2 linked regions of the Rattus norvegicus genome follow. The protein of the gene in region 1 purifies or fractionates together with the protein of each later gene. This does not show direct contact. Links are inferred from orthologs where the notes say so. Each region holds a gene or a part of one and is shown on either strand. Other genes may lie near its edges.

What was found. Proteins that work in one complex are often made in the same cells at the same time.
Region 2: the proteins of Smarcd2 (region 1) and Arid1b purify together in Homo sapiens (affinity purification with mass spectrometry; 5 studies listed by BioGRID and IntAct, with this or other methods). This does not show direct contact. The link is inferred for Rattus norvegicus from reciprocal best matches to the Homo sapiens genes SMARCD2 and ARID1B.

Annotation. Positions count from the first base shown.
Region 1 is NC_086028.1:91,697,468-91,705,845, forward strand, and holds the start of Smarcd2 (SWI/SNF-related matrix-associated actin-dependent regulator of chromatin subfamily D member 2), read right to left. Parts: upstream 4,942-8,378; 5' UTR 4,857-4,941; coding exon 4,641-4,856; intron 329-4,640; coding exon 144-328; intron 12-143; coding exon 1-11. UniProt on the Homo sapiens protein: Involved in transcriptional activation and repression of select genes by chromatin remodeling (alteration of DNA-nucleosome topology).
Region 2 is NC_086019.1:48,300,665-48,308,312, forward strand, and holds part of Arid1b (AT-rich interactive domain-containing protein 1B), read left to right. Parts: intron 1-2,133; coding exon 2,134-2,343; intron 2,344-4,786; coding exon 4,787-4,991; intron 4,992-7,648. UniProt on the Homo sapiens protein: Involved in transcriptional activation and repression of select genes by chromatin remodeling (alteration of DNA-nucleosome topology).

The DNA.
Region 1 (8,378 bases):
TCCTCTTTAACCTAGTAGGAAAACAGAAACCCATTTAAGAATTTAACAGTCCAAACTCACTATCTTCAAAACCCTCTCCCAAATTGCCAAGAGTCTCCTTGTGGTCAAGGTTACCACCAGAGACGAGACAGGCAAGGTCTTACCCTCGGCGCTGGGCAGGCATCGGGGGCTGGGCCTGAGGCACAAGCAGGCGTTTTCGGAATGGATCCATCATGGTAGGTGGCATGCCAGGTCGAAGTGGAGCAGCTGTGCCAAATGGGGAACCAGCCGGAGGTCCCACCTGCAAGCCAGCCATGGGCATCCTACTTCCTGGGGACATGCCAGGTCGCTGGGGAAAGTGGAACAGTGGAGGGGCACAGGTCAGTGGGAGAGCCCTACGAGGTCCATAGCCCATACCCTCCATCTCCCTCTCACACGGGGAGACCAGGAACAAAGGGGAACAGGCGCCTGAGCCCAGCGTGTAAACCACACCTGCCCCGCCCCTGCAACCGCCCTGGCAGCCGTGCCAACAAATGAGGCAGCCGGAGTCCATGGGCGGGAGGAGAGTGCCTCTTGCAGAAGGCAGGACCTGGGGAATTTTTTAGGACTTATCAACACCTTTCCAGCTCCAATATGCTATGTCCTGCACCCTGGGATCGGCCAGCTTCAAGGTATTTATAGAGTCCCTAGATAGCCCCTAGACACCCCTTCTTCCTTTCCCCATCCTGAAGGAAAAACATTACTCGGGAGACCAGAGGCAATGCATAGCAACAGCAACCAGGGGAGTCCGGGAGGATGTAAACAGCCTGTGCCTGGTGGCATGACGGGAAGAAAGGCAGTAGGGATGGCAAACCATTAGGCAGCAGCACCTCAGGTGAGCAGTATAATGTATGGCTTTGCTATGTCACAACTTGTGGGGATGGCCTCAGGAGAGTATAGACACCATCTGGTCACCATATGGCCCCTACAAAACCTGAACCCGTTGTTGCCCCCCCCCCCCCATTGCCATGCCCCTATCTCTATGTCAAAAGACCCTCAAAAAGGGAAATTATGGTTCTTGGGTGGCCTATGGGAATGAGAACAGCAAACATCTGGCCTCTGCCCATGGTCTCGGCACCACCTGGCAGCCAGGCTGCTGCTGGTCCGACTTAACCCTAGCCAGCCCAAACTGCAGACTAAGACTGTCTGGGATGGAAGGACACAGAGTCACAGCAACAATCTGGGTGACACGAGTAGCTTCTTGACTTCCCATCCAAGGCCCAGTTTTCCAACCTTTCTGGGAGCCCTCCACCTCCCAGCTCCATGCACATAGCTGCTGCCTGAAAGGCCTGTTTGGCAGCTCTGCCTTGCACACACTGTCCCTGGCAGCTTCACAGGCCTGGCCCCCGGGGCCCAGGTTATGCAATCAATCAGTACAACCAGACAACCAGGCCAGCCTGGGTGGAGATTCATACCAAGTTAAAGGCCCACCCCCTAACCCCCACACCCAAGCATCCTGAAGATGAGTCTCTGCGACTTCTTTATCTGGCACTAAGGAGTCAGACTCATGACCAGTAGCAGAGGGAGGGGAAGAAACACGACCCAGAGACAAGGGAAAGGGGATAGGAGCAGAGCAAGGATACAGTGGCAATTGAGGAGTTAAAAGTGGGAGACCCTGGGACCTTGGGAGTCCTGCCACAAGTCTCTCCTCATCAGGAAGAAATTCATCAAAGCTGTTGAAAGGCAGAAGACAGCCTGTTTCTCTGCTCTAATAAGCCAGAGCCAGAGATTATAGAAGGGGGGAGGGGACAAAAGAAAAGCCTCAGGTGGCCGAAGCTCTAAGACCCCATCATCACCCAGACTTGAGGGTTCCCTAGAGTTACTGCAGATATATCTGAGGCGCTCTGGTCCCCCAAAAGCTCTCCACCAAGGTTCATAAAGCCTATAGCACTGCTGAGCCCTCCAGGAAATCCCCCCGCAAGGCAGCCCAGGCAGGCCTGGAATAGGCCCCACCCAGACATCTGTTCCCCACTTCTGGGGCTTGGGCTTCAGTCCCCTGGCTCACCCGCAGCCTCAGGGGAAGGCTGCTCACAATTCAAGTCCTAGTTTCTTCTTGTCGAGCTCTACACCTGGGCTTTGAAGAGCTGAGTAACTCCGACTTAAAAACAAAACAAAGTCACTGAAACAGAGTCTCAGCCTCTCGGCCAGCCTGCCCCACCACAGAGTACGAGGCCTGCTTAAGTCCCCAGGACTCCGGAATGCAGTAACTTCCACTTGGTCAAGCACCAAGCCCACCCTCTAGGCTAAATTTTATAACCACCAAGAAGATAAGGGAAGTAGGCTAGACCTCATCCTGCCAGCTCTGGGCTAAGAATCTAGGGCTCAAGTAAGCATGTTCTGCTCTCCAGAAAAGTCTGTAGCCGGGATCCTGCTAAGAGCTGCTTGAACCTCAGAGCCTCATTTGGAGGCCAGACCCTGGCCCTATGAACAGAGGGTACTTTAAACTCTGAGCTGAGTGAAGCCGGCAATAATGCACACTAGGCTTTCTGTTTTGGTTTTGATCGTGGTACTTTAAACCCTTCAGGCTGATTGTTCTCCAAAACTAGAAAAACCCTCTAGAGGTAAATGAGCTATCAATTTATGTCAGCAGCCTTCCCATGCCCAGCCTGAGCACACACATCCTTGCCCTTCCTGCTCACCCCCAAGAGCTCTAACCAGGAGGAGCCCCTTTGTCCTCAGACCCCAAGCCTTTCTGGAAGATGGACACCTGGAAGGGATGGGAAAAAGCAAGCAGGGTCTCCTTCAAACTCAACCCATGTTAATGGGGTTCTCCTTCCTCCTTTCCCTGTCCTTCAGAGGAGGAAGAGGAGGAGGGGAGGAAGACAAAGAGGAGGAGGAAGAGGTAACAAGATGCCAGACTCAAGGCCATCTCCTTTCTCACAACTAGTAGCCACAGCTATCCAGCTGGCCAGCCTGGCCTCAGCATAGGCCCAAGGTCACTCTCTACAAAGCATGCAGGAATCCATCTTCCCGTCTTCACAGGAACTTTCCCAAGGGTACTTCTCTGTCAGCTGCATGCCAAGGGGACTGGTCTACATAATTAGTTGCAGGACAGCCAGGGCTCAGAAAACTAACCAAACCAGATATCCCCAGTGTCTGTAGGAAGCTACCAGATCAGTTCTAAGCAAGCAAGACCAAGGGCTGGAATAACTGATGTCAGTACTCATCGGTGAGACACAAGGTCCATTAATCTCCAAAGAAAGCAACATGGGAAAGATAAACCCCAGAGAGTATCCTTGGGACCAAGTCTATCCCTGTTCATACCCAAACTCGTCATTTTCTTTTGAGATAGAAAGAGAAGCGAAGTGGGTCACTTATCCCAACCCTCAGTTAGGTATCTCCTCAGGAATCTGACTCCTGGGTATAATATGCATGCTCCATGAAGATCTATTTCTGAGACGTCTACCTGAGACACCAGCAGAGGACAGAGTAAGCTACACCTTCGGACCTTCGTGACTGCAGTCCCAGCACTTGAGAGGCAGAAAGAGTTCAAGGCCAGCTTTGGCTACACAGCCTAGACTATATGGGACCCTGTATCAAAAAGCAAGGACCAAAAGTGACAAGGATGTGGGAAAGGATGGACACAGTCCCAGGCACTCTGGGAAAGGTGCAGTTCACTGATAGCAATGATCTGCCTCGTGCAAAGCCTGCCCGGGGTTCCACCCGGTGCAGGCTCAGCACCGAAAGGAAAAGCAAAATGAAACTCCCAAATATCCCGGAGCAACTTGAACCAGAGCCCTGGGGTATGAGGAGGAGCCCCACATACAGAGTCCCGCTGGGTGAGTTCCCAGTGCACTGACCACAGGATCTTGTCTCTGCTTGTCAACGACCTTTGACGCAGCAACCTGAGACTGCTCTCTTCCCAGACAGAAGGGTCTTGAAGTACCCTATGCAACCCAAGACCAGCAGGACTCCACAAAGCCTCCCTGCTCCTCCAAACTTAACTACTGGACACTGACATCAGGAAGAATGCCCAGTACAGAGGATATCTAGATGGGTCTGTTAATGCGATCGGGCTTTCTTCAGACCTGGCCATCGCTATCTCTAATCTATCCTGGGAGTATCTGGGCTCCCTCCCTTTGGTCTCCCATTTCGTAGGAAGCCAGGCTTCAACTTGAGCAGCTGGGAGCCATCACAGATATACTAACTCTCTGCCAGTTCCCAACTAGGAAAAAAAACAAAAAACAAAACAGCCAAGGCAGAGATGCAGTGGGACCGACTCCAAAGAAAGAGTAGCCCTGTTTTCTCACTAACGACCCTCTTCCAAAATTTCCTCACCACATCCCGGGTCACTCCCTCACCTCTACTCCGGGACCTGCCTTACACTTTTCAACCTGATTGCCCACAATTCTCTAAATCCCACGAAGCCTCCATCTCTAAGTTACTCAATGCCAAGAACTCCCGGGACTCTTCTAACTGCTTAAGTCCTCCACCGCAAAGGGCTTTCACCCTTTCCCCAACATTGCCTCCAACCCCTAGCCACTAACCAAAGGACTCTGGCCTGCCTGCCACCAGCCCTCGACAGTTCCTCCTGCAGTGTCCCCTGGGCGGCCCGTCCTCACCTGAGGCCCCTGGGAGACCAACCCAGCGCCCTCGAGGCGCCGCCCGCCTGCCTTCCTCACCTGGTACTGCGCCGCGGGGCCCGCGGGGCCCATGGGGCGGAAGGCAGCGGCCCCCGGTACCCCCATGCCTCCAGAAGGCCCCGGGCCCCTGAGCGCCGGGTTGGGCAGCATTCCGGGTCCCGCAGGCGGAGGCGGCGCACCGAGGGCCGCGGCAACGGCGCCGCCGCCGGGGCTCAGCGGGGGCAGCGGGAACCCGCCCGCGCCACGGCCCGACATCACTCTGTCCCGTCCCGCGGTGCAGCGATCCGGCCTCTCGTCTCCGTGTTGAGTCCGCTCCGCGAGCTCTGTTCCGCGATCCGGGACTTTCCGATTTTATTACCGGGTTCCGGGATCTTCTATTCCAAGTTCGCAAGTTCTTCCCAGCCCAGCTTTAGGATCCGCAGCCCCTCTGACTCCGCTCCTGCCAGGGATACTCCAGATCCAGGATGTGCTGCAAGCCCGCAGGCCTCTCCCGGCCTCCGGAGGTTTGATCGCGGGAGTCCAGTTACCCAGAGGCGGTTACGAACTCCCAGCCCCGCCCAACCCAGGCCTCGGCAGGCCCCGCCCCTGCCCGGCAGCCCAATCGAGAGTGCGTCTTTAAATCCCGCCCTCGCGAGACCCGCCTCAAACAAGCACCGCCCATAACTGACGGCCTCAGAGCCCCGCCCTCTGGGACCGCCTTTTCCCGGAGGAGCGGGAGCGGAAGCTGCACGCGGAAGCGCTGAGAGAGGCGCGGGGTCAGAGTTCGAAGGTCACGTAGGGCCGTCACCATGGTTAGGTGTTTGCCGCTTACTCCGGAGGACTACTGTCTCAGCGAAATGTCCGACATAGCCCTCCAAAACAGTCAATTCCGCGTCTCCAGGCCTTAAAAATAAGCGATCCGGGGCTGGGGATTTAGCTCAGTGGTAGAGCGCTTACCTAGGAAGCGCAAGGCCCTGGGTTCGGTCCCCAGCTCCGAAAAAAAGAACCAAAAAAAAAAAAAAAAAAAATAAGCGATCCGCGGCGGAATGGCCGCCAAAAACTTTTTAAGAGCCTATCTCAGGGCCTGAGGAGCCAGGCCAGTAGTACAAGGCGTTCACCTTCCAGGACCCCACACCCACCCACCCATATTGATTGCTGAGCGCTTCCAAGGACATGGGCGACCCCAGATATGACCTAGCTGGGTTAAAGCTTGACTTGGTCCAGCTCAGAGTACTTACCGCACTAACTTTTCTGTGCCTTTAAGGAAGCCTGGTAATTTACTCCGCAGAAAATGTTTTTAGGTGAAGGGATTTCGCATGCTGAGAGAACTCCAGGTAGTGAAATAAGTTTTATCCAGTTTGTATAGGACCTAGTTTTTGAAAAGTTGAGAACCTTTTCAGAAACTCCTGGCTTCAGCTATGTTATAGACCTACCCCTCTGCTAATGTGGTACCTCCTCACTCACGGTATACAATCAGTGCTACTTAACTTCACTAGGCACTGAAAATCCTCAGAATCGGGTTGGGGGATGTAGCTCAGGTTATAGAGTGCTTGCCTAGCATACACAAAACCCCGGGCTTGAACCCCAGACTGCATAAACTGTCTGGTGGTACACGCCAAAAATCCCAGCACACAGGAGGAGGCAGGTGGGCCAGAAGTTCAGGGTCGTTCTCAGCTACACCTCCAGCCGATTCTACAGGAGACCCTATATCAAAAGAAATCTGAGCTTTTTGTTAAAATGTGGTTTATGATTCAATGAAATGGCAGGGTTCAAGATTCTGTATTTCTCTTTTGGTTCTTTGAGACAGGGTTTCTTTGTGTAGCCCTGGATGTCCTATAACTAGGTCTGTAGACCAGGCTGGCTTCAAACTCACAGAAATCCACCTGCCTCTGCCTCTGCCTCTGCCTCCCAAGTGCTGAGATTAAAGGCATGTGCCAACACTGCCTGGCTTCATAGACCACATTTTAAGTAGACTGGGCAGAGACTTTTTCATAATAAAAATCCTTCACTTTGTATTCCCAATGAAATGATTTTATATATATATATATATACATATATATATATGTGTGTGTGTGTGTGTGTGTGTGTATGTATATATATATAATGTTTATGTTATATATATGTTGTATGTTATATATGTTATATGTTTTTTTTTTGTTTTTTTGTTTTTTTTTTGGTTCTTTTTTTCGGAGCTGGGGACCGAACCCAGGGCCTTGCGCTTCCTAGGTAAGCGCTCTACCACTGAGCTAAATCCCCAGCCTGTTATATGTTTATATATATTTTATATATATATATATATATATATATATATATATATATATATAATGTGTGTGTGTGTGTGTGTGTGTGTGTGTGTGTGTGTGTGTGTATTCCCTCCCATCCCTGCTGGGAAAGGTAGAAAATGAACGTCCATCTCAGCCCTTTGTAACTGCACAAGCTCTCGGAGAAGAGTGGTGAAGAGTCAGGCTCCTCTGGGAACTTATTTCAAGGATCCCTGCCAGCCTTGTCCTTTACTCTGGCACTGTATTTAAATATAAACCACCAGTCTTCCTGGTCCTGTAGAAAACCTCAACAGTGGGGGAAAAGGCAGGTTAGCATTGCAACTGACAGGCCAACCCGAGCTCTAAGGTAACACATTACTTTTAAGAAATAAATCCAAAGGGACAAGTTCCAGCATGGGCCCCCGTAGTTCCTTGGTTAACTGTTTGGTGGGCCTAATGGTGGCCTTTTAGAGTCTACAAAAGAAAACAAGATAGCTCAGTGTGTTGCCTAGAGCAGACCTGCAAAGGATCATTCCTCAGCACAGAAGACCCTGAGAAGGCCAGAATTTCAGGGAAAGCAACATGGAGAGTCAGGTCACAGTGGAGGTATTTTCGGAGATGCTGGCACTGCTGATCCAACCTCTTTCAGCTGGAGCATCCAGGCAGCTGAAGGATGGATGCATCTGCCACAAGGATGTGGTGGTGAAGGTAGGCCCAGGGCACTAGCTAGACAGAGGAGCAAACAGTCTTAGCTAGCAGGAAAGAAATAGATGCTCTACTAAAGACAGAAAGGTCCTGAGCATCTTGTACCCATCCCTGATGAACTACTAAAAAAGACGATATAAAAACATTTCCCCTCTCAGAAAACGTTCCCCAAAAACTTGATCCTCGGAGTAGTGCTATTGGGAGGGAGTGAAGCTTTTGATAGGTCCTTAAGATCATAGGGTGTGACGTGGTCTTCAAAGGGAATTGTGGGACTCCAGCCCCTTCTTCCTCTTTGCTCCTTGGCTCTTTATGGAAGTGGTCTTGTTCTGCTACACACCGCCACCATGCTGTGTTGTCCTGTCACGGGCCTAAGGTAATAGGGCTAGTAGAATATGGACTTTAACTTCTAAACTGGGCCAAACAGACCTTTTCTTATAGCGCTCCCTGTGACAGACTAAAATAAAGGTATCTGTAAGTGGGATGGAGAGATGATTTGGTGGCTAAGCACACTGCTCTTGCACAGGACTCAAGTCCCAGCACTCACATCAGGTGCCTCAGAACAACTTCAGTCCCAGGGGAATATGACACCTTCCTCTGCCTTTGTTAGATACCACATTTATGTTCAGAAACACACAGGCACATATATACAGAATTTTAAAACAAATTTTAGAAATATAAAAGTATCCACAAGATACCATAGAGAAACCAGAAACCTTTTAATGGATGGAGGGATCAATAAAGACTTCTGAGCTGGGACCAGCCTGGTCTACAGAGCAAATTCCAGGACAGCCAAGGCTGCACAGAGAAACCCTGTCTCGAAAAAAAAAAAAAA
Region 2 (7,648 bases), on another chromosome or scaffold:
ATAGAAGCAGGTCCAAGTGGCTCTTCAACAACTGCAAAAGTTCCTGGGCCTCCAGAAGGCCTTTCCCACTGTTGGAGGTCCTCAAGTGGGGACTAGAGAGATGGCTCAGAGTGGTTAGAGCACTGGCTGCTCTTTCGAAGGACCCAGGTTTGGTCCCCAGGACCCAGTGGTGACTCAACCATTGTAACTCCAGTTCCAGAGGCTCCAACACCTTCTGAGCTCCATGGCACTTGTCTCACGTGATATACATACATATGAAATAAAAGTAGATCTAAGAGAAAAAACCTCCTCAGAGGGTCCCAGCAGCTCGTGTCTAGGAACGAGAGAGACGTGTTTCATGGCAGCAGTAAGCACACGTGCTCTCTGTCGGGCTCCGTTTCTCTGCTCCTCTCTCGTTAGGACAGCAGTTGGCTCACCAGCAAGCCTTGGGCCAGGGAGAAGTCCACTGTTGCTCTCAGCTGCAGTCTCCTGTGGTCACCATGTTTGTGTCACACCTCGCTCTTTTGTCCTGTGCAGAAGATAATGAGTCTCTTAATTCTTAACCTGAGCACAGTCAGAACTTTCATGCATTTTTTTTAACTACGTGCAAGCATTGATAGAACATGTCTAAGACCATTAGTGTGAAGGGTGCTGTGCTGAGTGGACGCAGAATCAACAAGCCTGGCTCATAGGTGGGAGAGCAGTCGTCAGCCCACTGTAGACAGCACTGCAAAGGAGCATTCCGGCCCACGCTGGGGAAAACTGAGCTGGGTGTAGATTAGCCAGCAGGCCTCCTGGGTTAGCACAGGCACCTACATGCTTCTGCTATGTGAACTGCTTTGGGAAAAAGGGAAGAGGGACAAGAACTGTCATCTTTGAGCTGGAGAGACGACTTAGATGCTGTACTTGCCAAGGACCCAGTTTCTACTCCCAGTAGCTACGGCCCAGGTCATGTGGCTCACAACTGCCTATAACTCCAGTTCCAGGTCATCCATACCCTACTTTTGGACTCAGTGGTCATATGTACACAAACACCTTAAGTAATTCTTATCTAAAGTAATTTCTAAAGGACTTGAAGTTTAAGTTCAACTCTGAAGTTAACCCTTAAAAGCTTTCCTTACCATTCTAACTGTGTCACCTCCCCACCCTGCCCTTCAGGACTGGGGACTGGATTTAGACCTTGCTGGACACTAGCACTAGGTTCTGCCCTCCCACCCCCTTTCCCTGCTTTATCTTCTTTTAATTTGAGACAGGGACTCAGTAAACTGTCCAGTCTGGCCTCAAACTTGTGATCCTCCTGCCTCAGCTTCCAAGTAGCTGGGAGAACAGACTTACACCCCTGGGCTCAGGTCACCCATGTTTATATATTTTATGTAAACATATTCTATGCCTCAGTGATCTGAGGGATTAACACTCCATGCAGAATGGCTTCAGAAAATAGCCAGAAATAGGAAACTGCTACTTGCCAAGCCTGGAGTGTGGCTTCCAGAATGGTAGGCACTGGTACAGGGGCACCTGTCTCAGTTACGCTGAGAAGCTATAAACTTTATGTAGGGAGAGCTGGCTGTCTCTTGACACAGCCTTAGCTCCCCAGTGGCTCCAAACCCCACCTACTTGGAGACATACCTGTCTCCTGTCTGTGGTTTTCCTCCTTCCCCCTGCCCCGCCCCATTCTGCAGCAAGCACCAAGTAGATACCTGTGTTTTCATAAGGACATGTTTAATCATTTTTATTTTGAGGAAAAAAAGTAGGAATGTATTTCTTGGTGATGGGAACTCCAACATCAGGCATGAGAAGTTTGACCACAGGCATCTGTTCTCTGGGCTGCTAGCCTTTTCTTTTCCAAAGCACACAAGACGTCAATGGAGTCTGGTCTCCTGGATTCAGCACTGCTATCAACATGCCTATTTCAGCTTACTTGGTTTAGGTATTAAATTAAGAGTCTGGGTCCTTTTATTTAAAGTCGCAGTATGTCACTTAGGAAAACGCAGAGCTTGTGCCTGAACTCTAGCCTGTGTTGTGTTGCTGATATGTGATGGCAGCAGCTTTAAGTGTATTTTCTTATGCTCGCCAACTCACTGCCCTTCTCTGGCCCTTCTCCCCTCCACCCCGTTCCCACCCCTCGTGCCCACCACCACCTCCTCCTGACACCAGAAGTCCAGCTCCTCTTCCACCACTGGGGAGAAGATCACAAAAGTGTATGAGCTGGGGACTGAGCCGGAGAGGAAGCTGTGGGTCGACCGCTACCTGACATTCATGGAGGAGAGGGGGTCCCCCGTGTCCAGTCTGCCGGCAGTGGGCAAGAAGCCCCTGGACCTGTTCCGACTCTATGTGTGCGTCAAAGAGATCGGAGGCTTGGCGCAGGTGAGTCTGAGTGAGGGTGGAGTGCTGGAGGCAGGCCTTTGGGTGTGCTGTTCAGCTCTGGATGTTGTATTTGGTTCTGACTTCTCTCACAGAGGAAAAGCTAAGCCTGTAGCACAGTCCCTTCCTAGGACTCTGTAGTTTGTCAGAGAGAGCTACAGTTCCTAACTGCCAGCAACTCCTGTGGCAGAGTCACAGCTCAATGCCCTCATCTGTACTAGACCCTTAGACCTCTTTTTCCCAGGCAGCTGTAGAATTCTCTGGAATCTGCTACAGATTCATGGTAAATACTCCAGAAGTGTTTTACAAATGACTAATTCATCATGGACCAGATAAAAATCAAATTCACTATTTTTCTATATCCAGAGCAATTTATAAATTCAAACTGTGTATAGTGGGGCTTCCATAGTTGGAAGGTGGAAAGCCAGGAGTTCAGAGCTAGCCGCAGCTGTGTGAGAACCTGCCTCAAAAGAAAAGAGAGAGAGCGATCCAGTTGTAAGAGTAAAACCTGCAGCCCTGCATGACTACGGTACTGTGCTCACCCACAGAGCTGGGGGCTGGCTGAGTAGGCCACACACCCAGGTATAGAACTCAAGGCGATGCTCATTTTCTGTCTGTGCAAAACAACAAAAACAAGAGACACGGCCATTGCTTGCTGCCCGTCAGAGTGTCCCCGAGTCCTTGTGTCCTTAACACTCTACTTTGCTCGCACCATTATTTTCAGTGAGGGGTTGGTTGAAGTGGGGATGTACCTCACCTCACCATGGCCTTTATCTGGGTTTACTTATAAGGCACAGGTCACTAACCCCAAGAATTCATGAGGAAACTCATATATAACTAAGTAAATTGCAATAGAAGCCACAGAACCAACCGATGGCAAACATGAGCTGTTCCCATGGCTCCTGCCATGACTAGGGATGGCCTGTGAACTTTCTAAAGAGTAACCATCCAGATCCCAGCCCTAGATCAATGCTGTAGAGCTGGTCCCCAGAAGCCTAAGAGGCAGTTGGAATGAGGCAGCAAACACCTCGCCAAAGTAACCTGTCACCCTAAGTGTCCCAGTTCTGTGGTTCTGGGGTGCAGGGCACACCTTTACTAGTCCCCACCCCACCCCCCGAGGACTGAGGCCTATAACTAGATCCACTAGAACTCTGGTCTAACTCTGCAGCGTCCCACATACATCACACATGCCGGGTGGACCGCCTCTCCCCATCTCCCTACTGCCTCTGCTCCTCCCACTCTGCTCACCTCCTCTAGGCTAAACTCTAATGCAAATCTCCAAGACTAAAACACTAGCATCCAGTCATCGGTGATGTGTGTTGCTCTGGTCTGGCTCCCTGAGTCACAACAGTGTGTATAAGCAGATTACACCAGCACACAAGCAACTCTGCAGCTTAGCCAGTGCACACCCCAGGGACACTCACGGTATTGCTATTACCAATGGTACACCCCTCCACCCAACAAACTTCCCTGACAGCTCAGATCCTAGCACTCAGGTTGGCCATCTCTGAAGCAACCGTGGCCTGCTGTTTGTACCCACTTCCGCTGAGTACTGAAAGAGGTGTTTCCCAGAGCAATCAAGCAGTGTGTTTATTGTTGTGACTATTTAGTACTAAGTGAATGGATGTAAAGAGCCTCATGCCAAAGTTTGGATCCAGAAATTCATTAATTCATCACCATTACAAGCTACTCAACATAGCACCCATCCAAAGGCACAAGCTTCTGTCTTCCTGAGTTATTTGTGTGTTCATGTTTCATTCATGACTTTAAGTTCTCATAACCCATTCTAGGTAAAAATGAGAAAGTTGAAGCAATGCTTTCCCCCAGCGCGCGCGCACACACACACACACACACACACACACACACACACACACACACACACACACGTCTTCTCCTGGAACGTTGATAAAAACCCTATAGGACATACACAAACCTGTGTCCCAGCTACTCAGCTGCTGGCCCATACTCCAGCCAGTAGCAGGGGGCACCTTCTGTGCCCATCCCACAAGGATCCTCAAGGATGGCTTCATGGGAGACGGTAGCCAGGGTGGGTTGGTCTGTCTGTCTGTCTGTCTGTCTGTCTCTCTCTCTCTCTCTCTCTCTGTGTGTGTGTGTGTGTGTGTGTGTGTGTGTGTGTGTGTGTGTGTGTGTGTGTTGGGTTCTCCATTCATCCTGGGGCTCAGAATGAGGAAGCTCTTACTCAAGTCTATAGGAGATGTAGCGGGCAGAAGACCCCAGCAAGTGGGCGTTTATGTCACCATCAGCAGGCTCCTTAATGGTTTTATAGCTGTAAATGCTGTCTGTGTGCTGCTGAGTGGGAGTGATGAGCATTAGTTAAAAGAGGCAAATGAAAAAAGTAAGCCAAGACATGAAGTGCTTGTTTGTCTCCCAGCTTTAAACAAGCCACTTTGCTGCGAACCAACCATCCTGTCCGTTTTTTTGCTAGGTTAATAAAAACAAGAAGTGGCGTGAGCTGGCAACCAACCTGAACGTTGGCACTTCGAGCAGCGCAGCCAGCTCCCTGAAGAAGCAATATATTCAGTACCTGTTCGCCTTCGAGTGCAAAATTGAGCGTGGGGAGGAGCCCCCGCCTGAAGTCTTCAGCACGGGGGATGCGAAGAAGCAGCCCAAGCTCCAGCCGCCATCTCCTGGTAAGTGACAGTGCTACAGCAGCCTGAGCAGCTGCCCTGGGACCAGGCTCAGGCCCTCCCCGAAGGATGGAGTGCCACCTCCCTGTTAGAGCATGAAGCGGGGCACACCTGCCTTCTTTCTTCTCATCAGAGTAGACCTTAGAGTCCTGAGTCAGATGCCTTTGTATGTAATACAGGATTGAAAAATATCCCCTCTCTCTGGATAGGAGACATCTTTGTGAACCCCATTCTGGTGTTTTACAGTCTGGGTGGCGCCACCTTCAGGCCCACCTCTTCTGTCTGGGCCACTCCAGTTTGTACTTTGGAAAAATAAAATAAAATCTGGACTTAGGTTCTGCTGTTTCCTGTCCAGCAAGGTCTCACCTGAAGGGAATCCGTGTCAGTGCTATAGCAAAGGCCGGCAGGTGCCATCGTGGGGACCATGTCTGTAAGCAGCTCCTTCCTGCCACTCCACCCACACAGTTGGATAAGGTCACTCTTCATGCTCTCCTCTGGCCTACCCCCTCCCTTAGACTTTAAAGTGTGAAGTTACCACATACTGTGAGCTGGCAAATCCAGTGTTAGGGACAGGGAAATTGGACCCATGCTTGGGTCTGTGTGGTAGGCTCACTTAGGTAAACCCCACCATTTCTGGTTTCTAGTCACTGGTCATCACAGATCCCATTTAAGGCTACTTACCTGCAGCAATGGTGACACTCCTGCCATTTCTATATAAGGTGGGGCCTGTCCTGAGGCCAACTGAAAGCCCAGGTTTGTTGAGCATAGACAGTGTCTCATTCCCGGGATGCAGGTGCAGTTTACATGTCCCCAAGAGAACAAAGGCAGATAAGGAACCCAAAGCTACCCAGTGGGGCTGCAAGAGGCCTACTTGGGGATATTTGACCATGCGTTGTTCTCTGAATTCACCTTAGCCTAGAAAGAAATGCCTTTGAAATAGGTCCACTCTTGACATCCAGAAGCCAAAGAAAGAATTCTGTTCACTTCTAATGATTCTCTGCTGACTTGTCAGCATCAAGAGCAACCAGCCGTACACTGCCTGCCAATCCTTAGATAGAGGTCCAGTTCTAAGAAGGAAATCTTCCTAGAAAGCCTCACCCTTAATGATCCCAAACGTTGACCACTTGGGGCATACCTGAACATGGGACAGGCTAATTCTAAAAAGCACACATTACATTCAGTTCACAGACTGAAAGAAGTGATCTGTGAACAGCCCTGAACTGTTCTTCCAAAATAACACCCTACCGGGGTACAGGGTCCAAAGCAGTGATGTCTGCAAAGATCTAAAGATGTTTTTATTTGTCAGGAAAGACCCTGTGTCCCCAAATGGCTTGCACTCGTGTGTGGAGAATAGCTCTCCCAGCATGCCTCAGTCTCAGAACAGAAAGCCCTGCTGAGGCACAGATCCTGCAGAAAGTGGAGGCTGGTTCTCTGAACGGCCAGCACCTTCCTCTCCCCAGCTTAGAACAGCTGCCTTTATGGCAATGCTGTCATTCAACTGCACAGCAGAACTAGGCTGGGAGCTGTACCTCTTGGTGCAGATGCAGCCAAGGTCCTGCTGTGACTGGGGAGAGTGGGAGGAGCAAAGCTTCCTGGTGTTGACTGTGAGGTCAGCGTTCATTGCAGAGACACCATACACACAGCCCACGCAGGGGACAGGGAGCAGCAGCAGCCCTGCAAGCATCAGACAGCCTCCCTGGCTCCACACCCTGCCTTGCCATTGTGCCAAGATGTTTTCTTGGTCTCTTTTAACATAAAACTTTTGGGGTTGGGGATTTAGCTCAGTGGTAGAGTGCTTGCCTAGCAAGCACAAGGCCCTGAGTTCGGTCCCCAGCTCTGGAAAAAAGAAAAAAGAAAAAAAAGAAAAAAAAAAAAGAAAGAAAACTCTTAAAGTTAATTTGCAGTTAAACCTTCTTTAACCAGCACATTAAGGCAAACTAAAGCAAAGATCTCCAGTGAGTCTTCTAGATTGTTCTTCACTGAGTCACATGTTCCTAGATCATGTGTCTTTCTTCTGAGAGAGCTCCACATTGTTGCGTCTCCAGCCAGCCTGGATTTGCTGTGGCTTTATGAATCTAAAGTTAAGTTCCGTCAAGCCTTGGAGCTAGTCCTGCTTCATCTCTGCAGTTAGTCCACAGAGGGCACTCTGCAAACAGATGCACCCCTGAATTAGCTCTGTCGGGGGTTAGCATGTAGTCTGATCCCTAAGGTTCCCCAAGTTAGTGGAGAAGTTTAGTCAACAGCAGGTGTCCCCAGCAGACTTGGGGAAATGGCACTGAGGTGGGGCAGGCGCAGACAAGAAAACTACTTTCAGCTACTAAGTTTGTAACCCAAAACCCATCCATCTTTGTTGGCAGGTGGCTGGCTGCATTTTTATTATCAGCTGACAAGTGATGTCACAAAACCTGTCTTGCTTCCAACTAGGGAATCCTCAGAGGAAGATAAATGAGACCGGTGGCGCTGTAAGCAAAGGTGCCCTCCGGTTGACTTCCAGTCACCAGACCTAGGTCACATCGCCTGTTCCCCCTGGTACCCACACCCCTCCCTCTGGCTGTAGGGCACCGGGTTCATGCTGTGCAAATTATCTTCCCAGCCGGGAGTCCTGGCTGTCCCTGTCTGAAGTGTGTGAATGACTTAACCTCCAGTAACCTTTCCATTGC